Linked DNA regions of Oryctolagus cuniculus. The protein of the gene in region 2 interacts with the protein of the main gene of each other region in a pairwise test. Links are inferred from orthologs where the notes say so. Each region holds a gene or a part of one and is shown on either strand. Other genes may lie near its edges.

Evidence for each region.
Region 1: the proteins of EXOC8 (region 2) and MBIP interact in binary tests that used the Homo sapiens proteins (3 or more experiments, as listed by UniProt). The two-hybrid records come from large-scale screens. The link is inferred for Oryctolagus cuniculus from reciprocal best matches to the Homo sapiens genes EXOC8 and MBIP.
Region 3: the proteins of EXOC8 (region 2) and USHBP1 interact in binary tests that used the Homo sapiens proteins (3 or more experiments, as listed by UniProt). The two-hybrid records come from large-scale screens. The link is inferred for Oryctolagus cuniculus from reciprocal best matches to the Homo sapiens genes EXOC8 and USHBP1.
Region 4: the proteins of EXOC8 (region 2) and WASHC1 interact in binary tests that used the Homo sapiens proteins (3 or more experiments, as listed by UniProt). The link is inferred for Oryctolagus cuniculus from reciprocal best matches to the Homo sapiens genes EXOC8 and WASHC1.

Annotation. Positions count from the first base shown.
Region 1 is NC_091443.1:39,330,141-39,335,259, forward strand, and holds part of MBIP (MAP3K12-binding inhibitory protein 1), read left to right. Parts: coding exon 1-12; intron 13-2,805; coding exon 2,806-2,871; intron 2,872-3,318; coding exon 3,319-3,471; intron 3,472-5,119. UniProt on the Homo sapiens protein: Inhibits the MAP3K12 activity to induce the activation of the JNK/SAPK pathway. Component of the ATAC complex, a complex with histone acetyltransferase activity on histones H3 and H4.
Region 2 is NC_091444.1:50,852,050-50,857,836, reverse strand, and holds the start of EXOC8 (exocyst complex component 8), read left to right. Parts: upstream 1-2,166; 5' UTR 2,167-2,310; coding exon 2,311-4,491; 3' UTR 4,492-5,787. Other genes in the region: DNA-dependent metalloprotease SPRTN, read right to left, coding at 148-247, 1,470-1,690. UniProt on the Homo sapiens protein: Component of the exocyst complex involved in the docking of exocytic vesicles with fusion sites on the plasma membrane.
Region 3 is NC_091447.1:65,253,706-65,259,063, reverse strand, and holds the end of USHBP1 (harmonin-binding protein USHBP1), read left to right. Parts: intron 1-135; coding exon 136-475; intron 476-804; coding exon 805-930; intron 931-1,057; coding exon 1,058-1,194; intron 1,195-1,380; coding exon 1,381-1,521; intron 1,522-1,597; coding exon 1,598-1,753; intron 1,754-1,845; coding exon 1,846-2,095; intron 2,096-2,320; coding exon 2,321-2,545; intron 2,546-3,178; coding exon 3,179-3,276; intron 3,277-3,453; coding exon 3,454-3,576; intron 3,577-3,829; coding exon 3,830-4,025; 3' UTR 4,026-4,072; downstream 4,073-5,358.
Region 4 is NC_091440.1:106,627,418-106,632,536, reverse strand, and holds the end of WASHC1 (WASH complex subunit 1), read left to right. Parts: intron 1-1,554; coding exon 1,555-1,666; intron 1,667-1,847; coding exon 1,848-1,994; intron 1,995-2,132; coding exon 2,133-2,269; intron 2,270-2,441; coding exon 2,442-2,577; intron 2,578-2,735; coding exon 2,736-2,937; intron 2,938-3,019; coding exon 3,020-3,184; intron 3,185-3,704; coding exon 3,705-3,863; intron 3,864-4,336; coding exon 4,337-4,405; intron 4,406-4,519; coding exon 4,520-4,659; 3' UTR 4,660-4,793; downstream 4,794-5,119. Other genes in the region: ATP-dependent DNA helicase DDX11, read right to left, coding at 5,108-5,119. UniProt on the Homo sapiens protein: Acts as a component of the WASH core complex that functions as a nucleation-promoting factor (NPF) at the surface of endosomes, where it recruits and activates the Arp2/3 complex to induce actin polymerization, playing a key role in the fission of tubules that serve as transport intermediates during endosome sorting.

The DNA.
Region 1 (5,119 bases), on a different chromosome or scaffold from region 2:
ATTGTAATCAAGGTAACTACCTAGACATTAATTTTCCTAGGATTTTAAGCACAATTTTTATGTTTGTTCTACTGTTTCATTTGTTTTTAAAAATGAATAACATTAAGAACACAATTAGATTTCTCAGGTTCAGTTAGTAACTAAAGCAGTGGAAATTCCTTCTATTAAGTAATAGACTACATTGAAAAACTGATTTTTATTTTGGTTCCACAACAATCAAATAAATGCTAACATAAAAAGGCTAATATTTAGCTCAAGTGAAAAGATTAAGTTCCTTTAGGAAATGAGAGTGAAGAGTGGGTGGCAGAGATGTTCTGTCTCACTAGAAAAAGGAGCTGAGCATATGAAGTTTAAGCCTGCAAATGTGCTTAGGAAGTTAGGATGTTAATACAGAAAGTGAACTTAGTGAAGTTAGTGGTATTCCTCAAGAGGGAGCAGTTTTCTCATTGCTCCTGAGCTGTTTGAAATGCTCCATTTCATTATACAATCCGTTTGTCACGAGGACCGTGGTGTCTTGTGCTTTTCCTCTTTCTTTCCTCCTGCATGTGTTTGCTGCTGTTCATCAGATTCTCGTCCTCTGCACTTGACACTGTAGTACGTTTACGGATCTGCAGGTACGCTGCAGCATACAGAATACTGCAAGGCACGGCTGTAGATCATACTCAGGCATCACACTAATAATCAGAACAAGTAGTTCTTGGGAAAAATTACAGAGAAGAGTTCATAATTGGAACGAACATTTTTCTTGTTGCCTTTAATATCTTGAGTAATTATCACGAACACAGACTTGTCAGATGAGCCTGGAAGTGACTCATACCACGTTGGTATACTCCCTCCCTGTCTTAATGATGAAACAATGCAGGCTCAGGTTGGGTCCTAAATTCAGCATTTTCTATTATTCACATTCATGTGTGTCTGTGTGTGTGTGTGTCTGTGTCTGAATTTGGGGTGTTTTCCTGTTCACTTTTTAAAACAGGTGCAGCAGTAGCAAAAAGCTCAGGTGCTACAATCCAACTGCCAGCAGTCCATGAAAAAGGGTTTGTTGAGGGAGCAAGCACATGTGTCAGTAATGTTATTCCTCTGTTCTCCCTGCTAACTCTATTATTATAAGCCACCAGGGGATAGAAATTGACAAGAATTGAAATGCTCAGCAGGATTCCTTGGCCCATTCAATCCCTTGCTGGCTCAAAACAGTGCTAGCAAGAATTGCTGTGGAGAGTGACTAGCGCTCCTACATTCACTGTCTTCACACCATGCTGAATTTCTCACTGATGGGTCAGTTAATCTATATATTTGGAATATATCTGTGGAATAGATGATAGCTTCTTTTTTTAACCCTTAGCCCCATGATATGATAGAAAGAGAATGGAGAAGTGATGGCCCTTTAAGACATTTTCAAGTATCTCCAAAAAGAATAAAGAAAAAGAAAATGATTCTGTTTAGTCTCTAGATAGAAAAGTGGATTGAGAATTTTATTTCCACAATTTCACTTATAAGCAGAACTATTAAGGAAACTTAGGCTGAAAAAATATAAATGTTTTAATGTGTTGGCGTGTTCATTTAAATTTCTTAATTTGACCTAAATACAAAGAGTAGTTTTGTAAAGTTGAATTCCATAGGGAAAAGAATTTTTTAGTATCTCATTAATTTTCCATTTCTTAGGAAATAATCATGAAAATTTTGTGCCAGTAGATGGTTTTACTATCATTTCAATCATTGGTATTATTAATGTAGTATTATATGTTAATAATACGATAATGTATAATTATAGTATTTATACTAATATATATTAACATCTTTTAAATTTTCCTCCTTTGTAATTTATTTATTGACTTCTAATATGAAAGAAACTAGACTTTAGTTTGGAAAAAAATTGGAACAGAATTTTACAGTACATCTTTCTTAGAATGGCATTTTTTGAAAGGTGGAATGGAAAGATGACTTCTGTGATTAGGAGTTTTTAAAATGAGCATTGGAAATATAGGTAGAGTGGGAAGGTATGTGTTATACTTGAAATTTCAAGGTCTGTTTTGTGTGGAGTTCTGAAATAAAAAGATGTTAAAAGTGTAATCATTTTTATTAGATGTTCACAAGTTCAGTTTATAAGTATGAACAATGCTGTTTTTAAAAGATAATTTGGTAAAAATGAATTCTGTCTATGATGAAGTAGAATTAAATTTTTTTTAAGATTTATTTATTTGAAAGTCAGAGTTACATAGAGAGAGGAGAGAGAGGTCTTCCATCCAATGGTTCACTCCCTAATTGGCTGCAATGGCTGGAGCTGCGCTGATCTGAAGCCAGGAGCTTCTTCTGGGGTCTCCCACGCAGGTGCAGGGGCCCAAGGACCTGGGCCATCCTTCACTGCTTTCCCAGGCCATAGCAGAGAGCTGCATCGGAAGTGGAGCAGCCAGATCTTGAAACGGCGCCCATAGGGGATGCCAGCACTTCAGGCCAAGGTGTTAACCCCCTGCGCCACAGCGCTGGCACCTAAAATACTTTGTAATACAGCAATTATTTTCTCCAAAGGTCCACATGGTTTTTAGGGATATTAGTTTTTATTAAAACTTACATAAAATTAATGCCCTTTGATGTTGATGGTTTTTCTATATGTAAATCTCAAGACTAGATATTATATATTTCAAAGAATAAAGAAGATCACTAAGTTCTATCCTGTATATGATAAGAATTTGTTATATAGTATTTAAGATTATGTTCTTACCATGAATATTATGTTAACAAGTATCACAATTTATGCATTTGAAGTTAAGAATATATTTAAACTTCTATTCATTTGAACTCCTCTAGAAAATAGTTGTGCCAGAACTGATGCTGTTTTCACCCCTTACCCTGGATTTAAAAGTCACGTAAAGGGTAAGTGATCCTTGTGTAGTAACTTTGTCACTGACAGAAGCTTATTCTAGACTTTTAGCAAAATGGAATAGAAATAACTTCCATATCTAAATTTTATTTTCAACACAAAACAAGAGGTCTTGCCTAAAGTACTATTAGGGAAGGAATTTCTGGATGGTTATTTATTTATTTAAATTTATTTGAGAAACAGAGCTCTTGTCTATGGTTTGTCCTCCTGATGCCTGCAGTAGGCTCTGGCTGGGGCCGGAACTGGGAGCTGTAAACTCGGTCTAGTTGTCCCACATGGGTGGCGTGAACTGCTGCCTCCCTGAGTCTGAATTAGCGGGAAGCTAGAGTCAGGAATGGAGCTGGACACTGAACCCGGTACTTTGATGTGGGATGGTAGGGCTGACCAAGGCTGAGACTTTTAAAGCAAATTTATATAGGCTCAAAAGTTTCTTTACTTAGTTTCTAGAGTTGTGAATACATATGGACCACAGACTAGACCTGAAGGAATTCAAGGGTCAGGTCACAAACCTAACAGCATGCTTCGAGACTGTGGTAATCAGGCTGTAGAAGAACGACTACAGAATATTGAGGCTCACTTGCGACTGCAGACAGGTAAGCCGAGGGAAGGTGGCGCCCGTGGTGTACCTTTGCAGGCGAGTAAGGAAATTCCAGTTCATTTCATCGCCAAATTTCCGTTGAATACCTTTTGTGGGTAAAACATTGTTCTGATGGATATGACAAGGAATGAAGTGTGGTCCCGACTTTATAGTTCTTGCTTAAGCTTGTTCTTGTCTCACACATCATGCGACTTTCTAAAATAGAGTGCTAGAAAAATGAGACTAGGTTCCAAATAGCTGCTGATAGCCTCAGTTTATTGAAATTAAAACTGAAAACTATTGTAGTCTTTATTAATAATTATTTAATTGAAAGGCAGAGCTTCAGAGATCTTCTACCTGCTGCTGGTTCACTTCTCAAATGAGTGTAATAGCCAGTCCTGGGCCAGGCTGAAGCCAGGAGGGCAGATCTCCATCTAAGCATTTGGGCCATCGTCTGCTTTCTCAGGTGCATTAGGGAACTGGATCAGAAGCAGAGCAGCCAGCACTCGAAGCAGAACTCATATGGGATGCCTGTGTTGCAGGTGGCAGCTTAACCTGCTGTGCCACGATGCAGGGACCTTAAAGTAGGCTTTTCTTACCACCACTTTGATAGCTTCCCACGACTTCTTATCACCCACTGTTACATACAAGGTGTGGATGAATGTGGTCCTCGTCTTCAAGGATCCCTCAGTGAGGATAAGCGTATAAATAAATAAAAGCCACAGGGAAGGTAAACTAACAAAATGATACTAAGAGCCAGTCACTTTGAGAGCATGTCAGCTCCCTTAATACTTAATCGTACCCTTTCAAGGCACTGGTGCTGTTACTGCTGCACAGATGAAGAAACTGCTGTTCAAAGGGCTCAAGCAACATGCTCAAGGTTGTAAGATAGAGACAAGTGGAAATCAGACCCAGATTTGAACTGGCTGCAAAGCCTGTGTTTCCCTCCACATTCAGTCACCATGCCGTGTTGATTCTGCCTTTTTTTTTTTTTTTTTTTTTTTTTTTTTTTTTTTTTTTTGACAGGCAGAGTGGATAGTGAGAGAGAGAGACAGAAAGGTCTTCCTTTGCCGTTGGTTCACCCTCCAATGGCCGCCGCGGCCGGCGCACCGTGCTGATCCGAAGGCAGGAGCCAGGTACTTATCCTGGTCTCCCATGGGGTGCAGGGCCCAAGCACTTGGGCCATCTTCCACTGCACTCCCGGGCCACAGCAGAGAGCTGGCCTGGAAGAGGGGCCACCGGGACAGAATCCGGCGCCCCGACCGGGACTAGAACCCTGTGTGCCGGCGCCGTAAGGCGGAGGATTAGCCTATTGAGCCACGGCGCCGGCCTGATTCTGCTTTCATCTGTCACCACAGCTGCTTTAGTTGACACCACTGTGATCTCCATGGGCTGATGGAAGGATATCAGCTGGTCTGTTTGCCAGTAGACCTCCTCTAGATTACTCTTTATCCTGTGTCCCAAATGCTTTTTCTAAAGTTCAGAAATCTTTAATGGTTTCCTGTTGTCCTTACAGTTACATCAAATTTAGTATTTTTTCACTCATCAACTATGTATTAAGCCCTTGCAATAAGCCAAGCACTGATGATATATTTTTTAAAGATTTATTTTATTTATTTGAAAGAGTTACACAGAGAGAGAAGAGGCAGAGAGAGTTCTTCCAT
Region 2 (5,787 bases):
TACTCATTATTATTTGCCCCATAACTCAAGTGCATTCTATGAGAAAAATGTTTCTTTTTAAATGTAGAAGTTAGTTCAAAGCAATCTAAATCAGTGACAAGAATCTGTAAATTACTGAGCTAAGAATCAGGTTTACTCAAAGAATACCTCTACAAGATCCTTTCTTGGTCTCAACTTTAAAAGGGGTTCACTAAGACGGATGGAACACATTCCACCACTTCCTTCATAGCTGCATATGCCAGCACACCTGGAAAACAACCACCACAAAAATGGGTTACAGTTATCAAGCAGACATATACAAAAGAGAAACAAAACAGATTCTTATACACTCTATTAGGAGAGAGCTTTCTGGAAAGTATATCCTCTTTGGGAACAGACACTAGTGCTTCATCTCTGTTCATGAAGAGCAATGGCTTCCCACTCCATTGCAGGCTGCATGCAAGAGCTCACCCAGGACAATCCTGTTCTACTCTAAGCCTCTTCCCCCCACAAGCTATCATCAGTTTGTGGTGGTTAACAAGCAGATGTCCAGCAGCATATATGAAGGAGATTTGTACTTTAAACACGATTTTGTATCACACCTTAATCTGTCCTACTGTAGGTTGTTTTGTATCAAATCAAAAACAACCGTGGGGGGCAGGCACTGTGACACGGCAGGTTCAGCCCTGCTTCAGTGACCAGCTGCCTGCTAATGCCCCTGGGAGACAGCAGATGATGGCCCCACTACTTGAGTTTCTGTCACCTGTGTTGGAGACCAAGATGGAGTTCCTAGCTCTTGCATTCAATCTGGCCTACCCCGTCCCCACCCCCAACCTCACTCCACCCCCTGTTGTGGATATTTAGGAAGACAACCAGCAAATGGAAAATCTCTGTCTTTCTCAGTCAGAAAAAGAGGCATGGCAAAGTGGTAACTGAAACTTAACTCTGATAATGTGCAGCTTATCAACTCAAATCAGCAGCTCTCAAACTTCATGTGTAGAGAGGGGATCCTTTTAGAAGCATCACCAAAGAGCTCCCGAGTCGAGAAATATGGAGACCTCAACTCCCTCCCCATTCCAAAACACTGGCTCACTACACCAAGTGGTGGTTTGTTAACTAGGCCATCACGCAGCCTTCGGCAGTTTTTCTGCGTCCTCAGCTGCCTTTCTGGAAAGATCTGAGTGCTTGTCCCTCTTGTTTTCTAGAGCACTAGCACAGGAAGGTTAGAAACGTGTGACTTTACAGTGGGGCGAGTTGTCTTTTTTTTTTTCTTCTTCTTCTTTTGGTCTTTTTCCCCCTCATTATGTTCTTTCTAATTCCAACTACAGTGGCGTGAGCTACATAGCTTTCTTAGCTGTTTGAACTGGATAAGAAGAGAGAAACACATCAAGCGTCCAAAGCCAAACGCTCTGGTTTAACTCCCCTGGGACTGGCAGGCAAGAAGTGCGGCCCCCTCCGCCTCGGTTCCCCCCGCGGGGCTCGGGACTCACAGGGTCATGCGCAAGCTCCACTTCACCTCCACGGCCTCCAGCTGGCCCCAGAAGAACCGGTCGTTGAACTGCACAAACAGGGCCTGCAAATCCGGCGTGGGGTCCACCAACTCCCAGGACGCGTCTACCAGCGACAGGGGCTCCTGGGCGCCATCGCGCTCCGCAACCTGCAAGTTCCACTCCTCCTGAAGCTGAAGTGCCAAAACCAGGTCCTCATCCATCACTGCCAGGATCCCAGTCGGGGCTCACTGGCGTTAGGCTGACTCCCGACTCAGGCCGCAGAAACGTTTCAGAGGCTTCAAGCTCCTAGGATACCGGTTCTCGGGCTGCTCTCGGGGTCGCTCTGCCAATCTCGCGAGAACTCGGGGAAAACGGAACTGAGAACAGGAACCAGAACCGAGTTTGCTCCGAACTCCGACGGCAAGATTCTAGGGCTTAAACAAGAAACTAGCCGTGACACCTCGAAACTGGAGCAGAACCCCGGGCTCGGCCCGAGGACGGTTACAGGAAGCTAGTTAACGCGTCTACGCTTCACCAGGAACTTCAAACCCAAACGTCACGCTCTGCTCATGCGCAGTACTTAAGCCTCGCCCTCTCGCCCTCTCCCCGCTTCCGCAATAACTCCTCCTGCGCGTGCGCTCTAGTTCGCGGGCAATCCTGCGCAGTCGTACGGTCTGCGCTCAGCCGCTTGCGCAGGCGCAGTGTGAGCAGCTCAGACCCGGGCGCAGGCGTACTCGTCTTGCTCGCATCTTGCTTCCTAAGCCCTGGAGCTCGGCTGGAGTTGGGTGGGTCTCGACAGCCGTGGCGACAGTGACAGCGACTGCCTGAGACCCAGACGGAAATGGCGATGGCGATGTCGGACAGTGGAGCGAGCCGCCTGCGGCGGCAGCTAGAATCAGGGAGCTTTGAGGCACGGCTGTACGTGAAGCAGCTCTCGCAGCAGTCGGACGGGGACCGGGACCTCCAGGAGCACCGGCAGCGCATCCAGGCTTTGGCGGAGGAGACAGCGCAAAACCTGAAACGCAACGTCTACCAGAACTACCGGCAGTTCATAGAGACGGCCCGCGAGATCTCCTACCTGGAGAGCGAGATGTACCAGCTCAGCCATCTCCTGACGGAACAGAAGAGCAGCCTGGAGAGCATCCCGCTCACCTTGCTGCCGGCCGCCGCCGCCGCCGCGGGGGCCGGCGCTGCCTCGGGCGGGGAGGAGGGGGCAGGTGGCGCTGGGGGCCGAGACCACCTCCGAGGCCAGGCCGGCTTTTTTCCCAGCCCCGGGGGCGCCTCGCGCGACAGTTCCGGCCCGGGCGAGGAAGGAAAGCAGCGCACTCTCACCACCCTGCTTGAAAAGGTGGAAGGCTGCAGGCACCTGCTGGAGACCCCGGGGCAGTACCTGGTGTACAACGGGGACCTGGTGGAATACGAAGCGGATCACATGGCCCAGCTGCAGCGGGTGCACGGCTTTCTCATGAACGACTGTTTGCTGGTGGCCACCTGGCTGCCCCAGCGGCGGGGGATGTATCGCTACAATGCTCTCTATCCCCTAGATGGCCTGGCCGTGGTCAATGTCAAGGACAACCCACCCATGAAGGACATGTTCAAGCTGCTGATGTTCCCCGAGAGTCGCATTTTTCAGGCAGAAAATGCCAAAATAAAACGAGAGTGGCTGGAGGTGCTGGAAGAAACCAAGAGGGCCCTCAGTGAAAAAAGACGAAGGGAACAGGAGGAAGCAGCGGCCTCTAGAGGGCCTCCCCAAGTGACCTCCAAGGCCACGAACCCGTTTGAGGATGATGAAGACGAAGAGCCAGCTGTCCCCGAGGTGGAGGAAGAGAAGGTGGACCTATCGATGGAGTGGATCCAGGAGTTACCTGAAGACCTGGATGTGTGCATTGCTCAGAGGGACTTTGAGGGGGCCGTTGACCTGCTAGATAAATTGAATCATTACCTAGAAGACAAGCCCAGCCCACCTCCTGTAAAAGAACTCAGGGCCAAGGTGGATGAGCGTGTCCGGCAGCTCACGGAGGTGCTGGTTTTTGAACTGTCCCCAGGTCGTTCCTTGCGAGGTGGGCCCAAGGCTACTCGCAGGGCGGTTTCTCAGCTAATCCGGCTTGGCCAGTGCACAAAGGCTTGCGAGCTGTTTTTGAGAAACAGAGCGGCAGCTGTGCACACGGCCATCCGTCAGCTTCGCATTGAAGGTGCCACTTTACTCTATATTCATAAGCTGTGCCATGTCTTCTTTACGTGTCTTCTCGAGACTGCCAGAGAATTTGAGACAGATTTCGCCGGCACCGACAGTGGCTGCTACTCTGCCTTTGTGGTCTGGGCGAGATCAGCCATGGGCATGTTTGTAGATGCTTTCAGCAAGCAGGTGTTTGATAGCAAGGAGAGCCTGTCCACGGCAGCAGAGTGCGTCAAGGTGGCTAAGGAGCACTGCCAGCAGCTGGGAGATATTGGACTAGACCTCACCTTCATCATCCACGCCCTTCTGGTGAAAGACATCCAGGGGGCCTTGCACAGTTACAAAGAAATCATCATTGAAGCCACCAAACATCGCAACTCGGAGGAGATGTGGAGGAGGATGAACTTGATGACTCCAGAGGCCCTGGGCAAGCTCAAAGAAGAGATGAGAAGTTGCGGGGTGAGTAACTTTGAGCAGTATACCGGGGATGACTGCTGGGTGAACCTAAGTTACACAGTGGTCGCTTTCACCAAACAGACCATGGCGTTTTTGGAAGAGGCCTTAAAGCTGTATTTCCCAGAGTTGCACATGGTACTGTTGGAGAGCCTGGTGGAAATCATTCTGGTTGCCGTCCAGCATGTGGATTATAGCCTTCGGTGCGAGCAGGATCCAGAGAAGAAGGCTTTTATCCGACAGAATGCGTCCTTCCTATATGAAACGGTGCTCCCGGTGGTGGAAAAAAGGTTTGAAGAAGGTGTGGGGAAACCTGCCAAGCAACTCCAAGACCTGAGGAACGCATCAAGACTCATGCGGGTGAATCCTGAAAGTACGACATCAGTCGTCTGAGGCTGGAGTCTGTCCATATGTGTACAGATGATAGTGCTTATAGGTTATTTATATTTATATTGTTGTATTAGCATATTCTGTATAGTCTCAAACACAGCTTACAAGTAAAAAGTGCCCTCAGAGATGCAAAACCAAAAGAAGAAAGGAAAAGAATGTAAAATTAAGCCCAAATAACAAAAAATATCAAAGTTGTTAAAACATATACTGACCTTTTAAATTATGCTAGTTCTCTAATGGGTTTATGATAGCACTACAGTTATTTCAGCTTCTCCTTTGAACCAAAATACACTTTCTCACAGTGTATCTTATTCAACACAGATAAATATGTCTACAAATACATCAGTTTACGTGTGTGTGAAAAGTTTCCTGGTTACGTTTCTTAAAGGGTGCAGTACCATGTAAAACACGCTGCCTCAGTACTTCCCCTTCTTGAAGTGTGATTGGACACTTTTTGGGGAAAAGAAAGGAGTTGGGAAAGTTGGTTTCGGAGTAAACTCTAGTCAAAAGAATTCTTTCTCCATGATCTAGCTAGCTAGCTTGGGGCCTCAGATACTCCAGTCCCTATATAGGAGGAAGCTTTTATACAGATTCAAACATTTCCAACAGAATTTGAATGGCTAATTATTTTCACTTGTTAATTAGCCGCTCCATAGTTTTCCTACTGGAGTTGGGAACGTTTACTTGGAAATCTTAAAGATTGTGATTTTTTTCAACACGTTTCTGAATTGTGTGAATTTCCAGCTGGAGCTTTTGTCTGTTATATTTATATTTAATAATAATAATAATAAAACAGGAAACTTGACAATCCTGACTGCAGCCAGTGATTTTAGCTCCCTTTTCAATGTAGGTTATTAGGGGCTGTCATCAAGCAAATGCAAAAAATTTTTCACTGAACTATTTAGATTTTAGGGACTGAGTAGCTGGGAAAGTAGAAAAAAAATCATAAGCAAATCTCAGTGGTTTCACTGAGTATGACAACTTTGAGCAGAGATTTGTTTTTGGTTTTGTATTTTTGTAACAAAGTGGAGAACCGAAGTGAGACAGTGTGCCCAAAGGAAAGGGAAGAAGAGAATCTTTTACTTAAAAAAAAAAAAAAGAACAAACAAACTCCTGGAATGCTCCATGCTGTGTTTTTCTTGTTTTATTTTTTACTTTCCTTCTTTGCTTTTGAAAGTGAATATAATGCTTACCGTAGATTGTTAGTAACGCACAAATAAAAATAAAGAAATATGAGCTTCCCAACATTTCTAAATGATTGTTTCCATTGTGTATTAATTATATGACATTCTTCATTCT
Region 3 (5,358 bases), on a different chromosome or scaffold from region 2:
CCAACCACCTTGCAAATTTCGGCTCCTTCCTCCCTCTGCGTCCCCAGCCCCCACCCAAGTCCCCTCGCAGTGTCACCCGGGAGTGGGGGGGACACCAGCTCCCCCCGCCCCCAAGCCTGGCCTTGGTGTTCGCAGGACGGCCCAGGAGGCCGACGGAGTGGCTTCAGCGCCCGCGGCAGATGCACCTGAGGGGCCGGCGGACCTCAGTGTGTTTCAGAGCCTGCAACGCGCTCTGAGCTCCCTGGAGGCGGCTGCAGCCGCCTGGCGCCGCCGGCCAGCAGAGGGCGCAGGCGCTGGGGGCCCGGGCCCCTCCGCAGAGCAGGAAGGGGCCGGGGGCGGCGCGCGGGAGGCGGCGCGGCTGGCCGAGAAGAACGCCTGGCTGCGGCTGGCCCTGCAGAGCCGCGAGGACGAGCTGGGCCACACGCGGGCCGCCCTGCGGGCCCTCGAGGCCGACAAGGAGACGCTGCAGAGAGAGGTGAGCGGGGCCGCGGAGGCAAGTGCAGCGCGGGACGCACGCTCCGTTAGTCATTCGACAAACCTCTAGGGAGCCCTGGCCTAGGGCGCCCATCAGACGCGGGTCCCTCACAGCCTCCGTGAAGGCGACAGCGGAATAAAGACCAGAACGCAGGGGCAGGCGCTTGGCCCGTGTCCTTAGAGGAGAGGGCGGGGCCCTGGAGATTTGGGGCTCTCCTCACCACCCCAGAAGTGGCTTTGGGCATGGCTGGTGCGTGGGTGGAGCCCCCAAGCCTGAAACCTCCCCTCCCCCACCCGCGGCCAACCCGGCATTGTCCTCACCCCTCGCAGGTCCAGGAGCTACAGGATGCTCTGATGAGGCTGGAGCCCCTGTCTCCGCGCACCCACAGCCACGCTGGAGGCTCAGGGAGTGGTTCTAGCAGTTCTGGGGCGGATGGGGAGCCCTGGGGGGGTCAGGTGAGTGCGAGAGGCGCAACCCGCAGCATCCAGGCAGGGGAGACCCGGATCCTGGCTCTGGGGGGTTGCATGGCCCTGGGTTCTCGGTGGCCATCTGGCTGGCTCAGGGCACACGTCCTCCCTGCAGGACTCCCTCTCCCTGGCTCACCCGCTGCTCCGGCGCATCCGGAGTGACTCCAGTGTGCACATCCTGGGCTCTCTCCCCTCGCGACCCCTGGCCCCCGAGATGCAGATCCTGGAGGCCCAGATGGAACAGCTCCGCGGGTGAGCGCCACCACTGCTGAGCTTTTAAGGGCACCGGCCGCTGTCCTGCCGCCCCGGGGATGGGCGTCTAAGCCCCGGGGATGGGCGTCTAAACGGGGTAGGAGCGGGGTGGAAACTGGCCCCTGGCTGCTCCCCCCCTCCAAAGAGTCCCCTCGTTTTCCCTCTCCCTCCCCCACCCCGAGACAGAAACATCGAGAAGCTCAAATGCTTCAACCGGCTGCTACTGGCCGTGCTGCAAGGGCGCAAGGGCCGGTGTGAGAGCCTCAGCATGCGGCTGAGCCAGCGGGAAGCCGAGGCTACAGCCCTGCGGCTGGCGCTGCAGGACAGGTCAGGGGAGAGGTCCCCGCGGGGGAGGGGCCGCGAGCCACGGCGTGGGAGGGCGCTCAGGACCCCCGTCCCGCAGTGAGCACCGTGAGGCCGTGTGCGCGGCTCTCCTGGCCCTGCACGAGGCCAGCTCCGGAGCGCGGGACTTGGAGGCCACTGAGAGGGAGGCGTGGCGGCTGCTGGCACAGGAGGAGGGCGGCGCAGACGCCGCGGCACCGCGGAAGGCACAGCCAAGGTAGGCGCCCGGGGACCGCGCTGGGCCTTGGGGCTCCCCGGGGCTGGCCTCCGTGATGGCCTGCGGCACCCACTCCTCCTCTCCTCCCGCAGCCCCGAGGGCAGCAGTGTGGATAAACCCACACCGCAGGAAGTGGCCGCCCTGCTGCAGGGCTATGCCCGGCGTCTGCGGCAGCGCCAGGCTCTGGTGAAGACCCCCCCAGAGCCGGGCCCCACCGTGGAGCCCACGCCCACCATGCCCCACGCAGAAGCCATGGTGCAGGCCATGCTGGAAGCCCAGCCCGGCCCGGCCCTGCCGCGGTTGGAGAAGATGGAGATACAGAGGGAACTGGTGGCCACACGGGTACACAGGGGCTGTGGTCCCTGGGGGGGGGGGGTCAGAACCGACAGAGGTGTGGTTGGGATGGGGAGGGGGAAAGGTTCTGCTGGGCTGGGAAGGGCTTCCTGGAGGGAGAATTGAAGCTGGGGTTTTGAGGGATGAATAGGAGTTTTGTTACTCACAGACCTCTCAATCCAGTTTTTCCCAAACGTGCTCGCCAGCCTCAGTTTCCCCTCCCCGACCCCTCAGGAGACCCTGGCGGACCTGATGTTGCAGCTGCAGCTGGTGCGGCGGGAGAAGCGGGGCCTGGAGCTGCGGGAGGCGGCGCTGCGCGCCCAGGGCCCCGCCCACGCACTCCTGCTGGAGCAGCTACAGTGGGAGCGCGCGCAGCTGGGAGCCGCGGGGCCCCACAGCGGCGCGGGGGACAGCAGCGGGGCGGGCAGCAGCGAGGAGGAGGAGGAGGAGCGGCCCCAGGTGAGCGGCCCTTCGGGGGTCGCTGCCCTTGGCCCCTAGGGGTTCAGTGGATGAGAGAGAGAGAGGGAGAGAGGTCTTCCATCTGCCGGTTCACTCCCCACATGGCTGCAAAGGCCGGGTCTGGGCCAGGAGCCGGGAGCTCCATCCGGGTCTCCCACGTGGGCGGCAGGACCCAAGCCCTGGAGTCGTGGGCCCCTGCCTCCCAGGGGGCGCATGCGCAGGGAGCTGGGGCGCACGCAGATCAGCTGGGACGCCACCAACACTCTGATACGGCCACGGCTGTCCCAGGCAGCAGCCCGCCCCGCGGTGCCACCACACCGCCCCTGCCCCAGGCTTCTAAACGGGGCTCTTCGCATCACCCCTCCCACCTGCAAGCCGGTGCTGCCACCAGGAATGTCCACCGTCTCCAGGAAGCCCTCCTGGGTTGCCCTCAAAGGAGCAATATTCGGCACCCCACCCCACCCCGGCCCTGTGACTTATCTCCCTTATCAGGGACTTGAGGGTCTCTTAGCAGAATGGGGGCTCTGGGAAGCGAGGGGCTCTGGCTGCCCCCCCCCCAGGCCAGCTTCTATGCCCAGGCTGGGCTGAGCACTTCTAGACAGAGGTCACCTCCCTCCCTTCTGTCTCCTACAGGGTCCTCCTGCTGTCCCCAACGCCACCGAGGGAGGCCAGGTGGGCAGGGCGTGGGACCCGGAGAGGTTAGCCCAGGAGCTGGCCGCTTCGCTCGCCAGGTGTGTGCCTGGGTGGGTTCTGCGGAGGAGGCGGGGGTGGGGACGTGTGTGTGTGTGTGTGTGTGTGTGTGTGTGTGTGGTGTGGCAGCGTGCGCCTGCGCGCAGGGGCGTGGGGAGCGGAGAGGAGGACCGGGTCGGGCCGCGGCCGGAGCCCCGCTGTCTCCACTCCCGCGCCAGGGCCGCGGATCTTCGCGCTCAGCTGCGGGCTCTGTGGCGGGAGCTGGAGCAGGTGGCTCAGAAGGGGCGCGTCCGGCGGGCTCAGAGCGCCGAGCTGAACAGCGATCTATGCAAGGCGCACAGGTGGGCCGCCGCCCCCCGCAGCCCACCCCTGCTGACCGCGGGTGTGTCCCTGGGCCTCGTTCCCCCCACTTGGAAGATAGTGAGCGGGTGCAGTGCAGGCCACGCCTTTCCTGCAGGATGCCCGGAGCCAGCTAGGACGTAGCCCCGCCCCCGCGGCGCCCCGCCCCGCCCCCGCCGCAGCCCTGGGTGGGGTGGGGGTGCTGTTCTCTGGGGTGGGGCGCTGTTCCCCGGCTCAGCCACCCACACCCTGCAGTGCCCTGGTCCTGGCGTTCAGAGGCGCCCACCGGAAGCAGGAGGAGCAGCGGCGCAAGTTGGAGGAGCAGGTGGCAATCCTGGAGGCCCGGCAGGCGGAGGAGTTGGCAGCACTGGAAGCCACGGCCCGGGCGCTGGAACAGCCCGGGTGCCCCTGCCCGCCTCCTCCCCCCCAGCTTGGGGAGACCTTGCTGTAGGCTCCACCCCCAGCCACGTGTCATAAACCGGCCTGGAGTGACTTGTCGCCCTGGGGTGCATGTGTCCTCATGGGTGGGGACCGGTTGCCTGGGCCACCGGGGTCAGGCTGTGAAGGTCATGGTCTCCCCCTCCCCCCCCCGGGACCCGGAACAATCAATCCAGGGGACAGGGAAGGTGGCAGAGCCCGAGCTGATGTCCCCAAGTCCTTTCTTTGTCCAGAAACCCAGGGCGGGCCCCTGGGGACAGGACACTCGTCCCCTGCCCATCTGCTTCCCAGGGAACAATCCAGAACAACTGGAGGCCCCCAAGGTTGGGGTTCAGGTTCAGGTTCAAGGCGTGGATGGTCGGCTGGAAGAGGAATCAGGGTTTGTGGAGGCTGAGGGCAGGCATCAGAGAAAAGTCTGGAACTCTCGATGCGTGTCCTTCCGGGGAGGGGGTGGGGCACAGGCCTGCCGGGCCCTGGGCAGCCTGGGAGCTTCCAGATCTCCCGCGGAGGTTGGGGGCAGCGGGAGGCGTTCCTGCCAGGTTAATTGCAGGCGACTGATTAGCATGTCATTTGCATAGGCCGCACCCCCAGCCCCTCCGCAGCAGGCTGGCTGGCCCTAGGGGGCTGGGATTAGTAACCCTAGACAGGAGGGATTAGGAAGGTTGTGGGCCCCTACCTGGGGGGGTGGGCGCCCCAGACCGCACCTGTGCAGGTGGTGCGGGGGCCCGCGGCCTCTCCACGGTGGGAGGGGCCAGGCCGGCTTGAGGTCAGGGGCAGCCGGGCCCTGGATCGCAGGGATGGGTGACTTTTGGGGCCCCAGCGCTCACTCTGCGCCCGCGTCGGCTTTGAGCGTAGGTGGGAAACTGAGGCAGCGCCCCCTTCTTGCCCTGGTCCATCTCCCAGCGTCTGCACTCCCTCCCACGAGGCTGCCCGGGGGCGGGGCGGAGGGAGCCAAGGTCACCTGCGGGCGGGGGCGGGGGCGGCCTGTCGCCGCGGGGTCTGGCCGTTCCCACGGGCGTCCCCCGCTGCAGATGCGCCAGGAGCTCTTTGTCCCGCCCGTCCGCGGCCGCCGCAAGGTCAAGTGTCACCGCGGGGTCGCGGGCAGGGGTCAGGGGGGCGGGGTCGCGCCTCGGGCCATCCCTCTCCCCAGCCGGGCCTCACAGGGGCGGGGCAGCAGCCCGGAGGTCCCCCTCCGTTCCCACCTCGCCTTCTTACCCCCCTCTTTAGACCCCTTCCCTGCCACCCCCCCCCCAGCACTCGAGCTTCCTGCTAAGGCTCCTGGCAGGTCCGGCCGAGGGTCCTAGGACCCCGCGGTACCCCCCATTCCCAAGGAGCCGACGAGCCGA
Region 4 (5,119 bases), on a different chromosome or scaffold from region 2:
GTGCCTTGGAGGAAGGATGCAGTGGTTTTATTGCTGTTACCTGGGACCACCTGGAAGGTTACAGGGTCCGGGCAGGACTCAAGTGTAAATACTGGGCTGCTTCCAAAGTGAGCCTCCGCAGATGCCCAGGCCCCTCTCACACACAGGCTGATTCCTAACTTCCTACCTAACACTTCCACCCCCAGCGCAGGATGACAAGAGCTAAAACAGGACCCCCTCCCACCCTGGCCCGAGTTCCGCTTCTCTGACCGGGAGGAAGGGCCCCTCCTTTTCCCTCCCTGGGGTACTGCCAGCCTCCCACCTGTCAGGGAGAACTAGGCCGCTCTGGCACCTGCCTGTGCCCCAGTCCCACCACTCCATCAGGACCGACTCCATAGGGTGCTGGAAGTTTCGGCCAGATTCCTGCATGTCACTGTCAACCTATGGAGAAATCCTGGGATTCCCTGGCCCCAGGGATGGAGGGGCCCCTCTGCCCTCCCACCTTTCCCTCTGGGTGACACTTGCTCTCTGCCTCCTTGTCTCTCCTGCCCCATGGACATGCGCTTGCTCTGACCAGGTGAACCTTAGTGATGCCTGCTCTGAATGGGGGCCCTGGTGGGAGTGGCAGGGGCTGGTGCTCCCGGAGACAGGAGCTGGAGGGGCAACCAAGAGGGGAATCGTGGCAGGTGTGAGTCACGGTTACCTTTGCAGTGGGTAAAACGTCGTGGGAAGCCCGAGTGAGGCTTCCATACATGAAGGGTGAGGCATGGGGCTCAGTAGTGTAGTCACTGTACAGCGAGCCCCTGCCAGGTGCCGGGCCCCGTCCCAGAGAATGGAGCAGGGAACAAAACCCAGCCCTGACGCCTGCAGCACACGCAGGCTGGAGGTGCGTCAGGCCCCACTGGGTCGGGGGTGGGGAACGTGGCAGGTGCACGTTGGGAGACCATGGTCAGGTAGGCTTGTGAGGAGGGGACTTAGGTGAAGCAGCCAGCTGTGTGGGTGTCTGCAGGAAATGTTCAAGTTGCTAAGGCCACAGACAAGCGTGCTTGGCATGTTCAGGGGTGGCCAGGCAGTTGGTGTCCAGGGCACAGTGGAAGCAGGTGAGGAGCCAGACCACCAAGAGCCAGGGAAGCCGTGACCAGGGCCTGGATTGCCTCTGCAGAACCGTTCATTATGCGTAGGGGCCAGCCTTGCTGGTCACTTAGCCCCACTGAACTCGGGGGTCTGCCGCGGTCTGCCTCAGCTGGGTTGTAGGGGCCTGTGACAGCGCTTGCCACCTGCCAGCAGCTGTATGTGAATGTGTAATTGCGGCTGTCCTGCACACCCCTGCCTGAGACTGGACACTCCTGGGGCAGGAGGCAGGGCCCCAGGGAAACTAGTACAGTTCATTCCCAGGCCTCTGTGCTTGGAGAATCCTGGTAGCGTCCCCCAGAAGCTCTACAACAGGCCAAACAGATAACGTTTTGAGAGACCTGGCCCCGCCCTGGCCTTACAAGTCGGCTGTTAGCAGCAGGAGAGACAGGAGAATGAGGGCTTGGGTGCAGTCCCCAGCCTTTGTGACCTTACCCTTGGCAGGATCTCCCAGCGAGTGGAGCTGAGCCGGAGCCAGCTGCAGGCCATCGGGCAGAGGGTCTCCTTGGCCCAGGCCAAGATTGAGAAGATCAAGGGCAGCAAGAAGGCCATCAAGGTAGTCTGTGCACCCCTGGGTTCTGTGGTGGACAGGCAGTTCCTCCATCTCCCGCACTCCTGCTGTCCTGCCACACGTCAGGTTTCCCTCCTTGCGGCATCCCAGTACCCACTCCCACACTACCAGCCACCCTTGGCTCTCTGGAGCCCCTCAGGCCCCAGATGTGTCCCTGTGTCCACAGGTGTTCTCCAGTGCCAAGTACCCAGCTCCCGAGCGGCTGCAGGAATACGGCTCCATCTTCTCGGGCGCCCAGGACCCCGGCCTGCAGGGGCGGCCCCGCCACAGGATCCAGAGCAAGCACCGCCCCCTGGATGAGCGGGCCCTGCAGGTGTCATGGCCACATACCCTGGGCAGGGAGGCTGCGGGCCCACTGGACAGAGAGTTGTCCCTGGAGAGGATGCGGGGATGGGGTGGGGTCCACAGGACCCAGAGCTGAAATCTCCATCTACCCTCTGGCCGCCCCCAGGAGAAGCTGAAATACTTCCCCGTGTGTGTGAGCACCAAGCCCGGACCTGAGGATGAAGCCGAGGAGGGGCTTGGGGGCCTTCCCAGCAACATCAGCTCCGTCAGCTCCTTGCTGCTCTTCAACACCACCGAGAACCTGTACGGCCAGGTGGCGGGGCTGTGCGGAGAGGCTGGGTGGACTGGCCGGGCCTACAGGGGCAGCAGGAGCCGAGCGCTTTCCTCCGGCCTGTGAGGCTTGGGAAGCCACCGTGGTCAGGAATGCAGCCCTAGAAGGGAAGGTGCTGCTGGCCTGACACCCCTCCTCCCACAGGTACAAGAAGTACGTCTTCCTTGACCCGCTGGCCGGTGCTGTGACCAAGACCCATGTGATGCTGGGGGCAGAGACAGGGGAGAAGCTATTCGATGCGCCATTGTCCATCAGCAAGAGAGAACAGCTAGAGCGACAGGTGGCAAGGGGCGGGGGAGAGGCAGGTGGTGGGGTCCCTGCAAGGAGCCATAATCCCACCCAGCTGTGTGCTGGCACAAGGCGACCTCCCCTCTGCCCCAGGGTCACGATGTGGCCTGCAGCCCCGTTGGCCGCTCATGCACCTCACTGACCCTACAGGTTCCAGAGAACTACTTCTACGTGCCAGACCTGGGCCAGGTGCCCGAGATCGATGTGCCTTCCTACCTGCCGGACCTGCCCGGCATCGCTGATGACCTCATGTACAGCGCCGACCTGGGCCCCGGCATTGCCCCCTCGGCCCCCGGCGCCATTCCAGAGCTGCCCACCTTCCACACGGAGGTGGTGGAGCCTTTCAAGCCAGGTGAGCTGGGAGCTCCGGGGGACTCCCTGGCCCCGCAGCCTCCTTCTCGAGGGCCTCACGTGTTCCCAACCTTCTCTTTCAGACCTGGAGGATGGGGTGCTCACAGCACCCCCACCACCCCCTCCACCCCCGCCACCTCCCCCAGCACCTGCGGTTCTGGTCAGTGCCCCACCACCACCTCCCCAGACAGTGGCCTCCACCGGCCAAGGTGCCAGGGTAGATGACAGCGGCAGCAGTGGGCCTCCAGGTAGGAGCAGCACTGGGCAGGGGCCAGGGCACACACACACTCTGAGGCACCTGTAGGTTCAAGGGACTGTGAATTCTGCGAATTCTGCATGTTCGGAACAGCTCTCCTTTCAAATGTTTTATTCAGTGGGTTCATAAAACCCTGTTTTTCAAGTGTCCTAGAGAGCTCCGGAATTCTAACCCCAGGAGGGGGAGCCTGGGCCCCCCATTCCCACCAATGGGGAAAGGGGGTTATTTAAAATGTGAGGTCACAAACTTCAGTTGTGATGTTCTAGCTCCTGGTGCATGGCCCCATCCACAAGGCACACAGAAGTCCCTCGCTGGTTCGTGGGGCACTGCTGAGACCCTGTCAGCCCATCAGGAATCTCAGCATTCGCCTTTGCAGTGGGAGAACTAGGAGGGCTGCATCTAGGCCCTGGTGCTCGGGCAGCTGGGGACAGGAACACCCAGGCCGCCGTGCGCACCGGGCTTCACCTTCAGCCGGCCCGAGTCCCTGCCTGAACAGCCTTCCCCCCTCCCAGCGGCAGTCCAGGGAGCTCCCAAAGAAGTGGTCGACCCCTCCAGCGGCCGGGCCACCCTGCTGGAGTCCATCCGCCAAGCCGGCGGCATCGGCAAGGCCAAGCTGCGCAGCGTCAAGGAGCGCAAGCTGGAGAAGAAGAAACAGAAGGAGCGGGAGCAAGGTGAGGGGCCCCCTCAGGGGAGGGGCCGCCCCGACATCCACCTCCGCTCTGCCTGCACAGTGGGCTTCCCCCCAGGTTGGGCACCTACAAGACAGACAAAGCTTGAGCTTAGCTTTCCTCTCTAAGGGGACTCGTCGTGAGTACCCCTGGCCCAGGGATACCCTGAGGCAGCACCTGAGGGGGAGCTCAGTCCAAGTCCTGAAAGCCCTCTGAGGCTGCAGTTGATGGGATGGAGACCTGGGCAGAGAGCAGCAGAGCCCCTGTGGTCAACGGCCCCGAGCTCACACCTAAGCTCTCTGGCCAGGTTTCCTGCAGGGCTGCTCACACTGATGCAACTCTAACACTGCTGGGTCTGCACAGAGGCACCGAGAGCAGGTGGTCAACAGGTGGTGGTGGGTGGGGCCGAGTGCAGCTAAGCCAGGGACTTCCTGCCTGGCTCCTCCACCTCCCTCACTGTGGCTTTTCTGTTGCAGTGAGAGCCACGAGCCAGAGTGGGGACCTGATGTCGGATCTCTTTAACAAGCTGGTCATGAGACGCAAAGGTCAGAGGCCTTGGGCAGGGGATACTTGCATCCTACACGGTCCTCCCCTAAGTTCCCAGGGGCTGAGAATGGGGGCCCCGGCCCACCTCCCTCACTCAGCCTTTTCCCTTGCAGGCATATCTGGGAAAGGACCTGGGACAGGGGCCAGCGAGGGGCCTGGAGGAGCCTTCGCCCGAATGTCTGATTCCATTCCTCCTCTGCCTCCTCCCCAGCAGCCAGCGGGAGAGGACGACGAAGATGACTGGGAGTCTTAGGGAAGCAGGTTCTCGGTCCCCTTGAGACAAGAAAGGTGAGGACTTGTGGCTCTGTGCCTGAGTCCTCTCCAAAGGCAGGGCTGTCCTAGAGCTGAGAGGAGCCACAGAAATAAAGTGCAAGAACTGAGTGCAAACCAGGAGCACACATTTTATTACGGAACTGCAGCTGTGGAGGACATACACAGAAATACTGCAGCATTTCCCTGCAGCCCGAGGCCCTCTCTCCGGGCTCAGAATAGAAGGTGTCTCTGCATTTGATCTGGTGCTGGGAAGAGCACAAGGCTGTGGGGGCAGGGGCCACCATCTGGCCGCCAGAGGCTGCAAACGCCTTTAATTCAAGGTCCCACAGCCTCCTGCAGACAGGCAGAGGCCTGACTTAGCTCCAGGGACAGCCTCAGCAAGGCCATCTGTTTTAGCGGCTTCTCTGGCTAAGCCTGGAGCTGGGGTTCTAGCGGAGCTG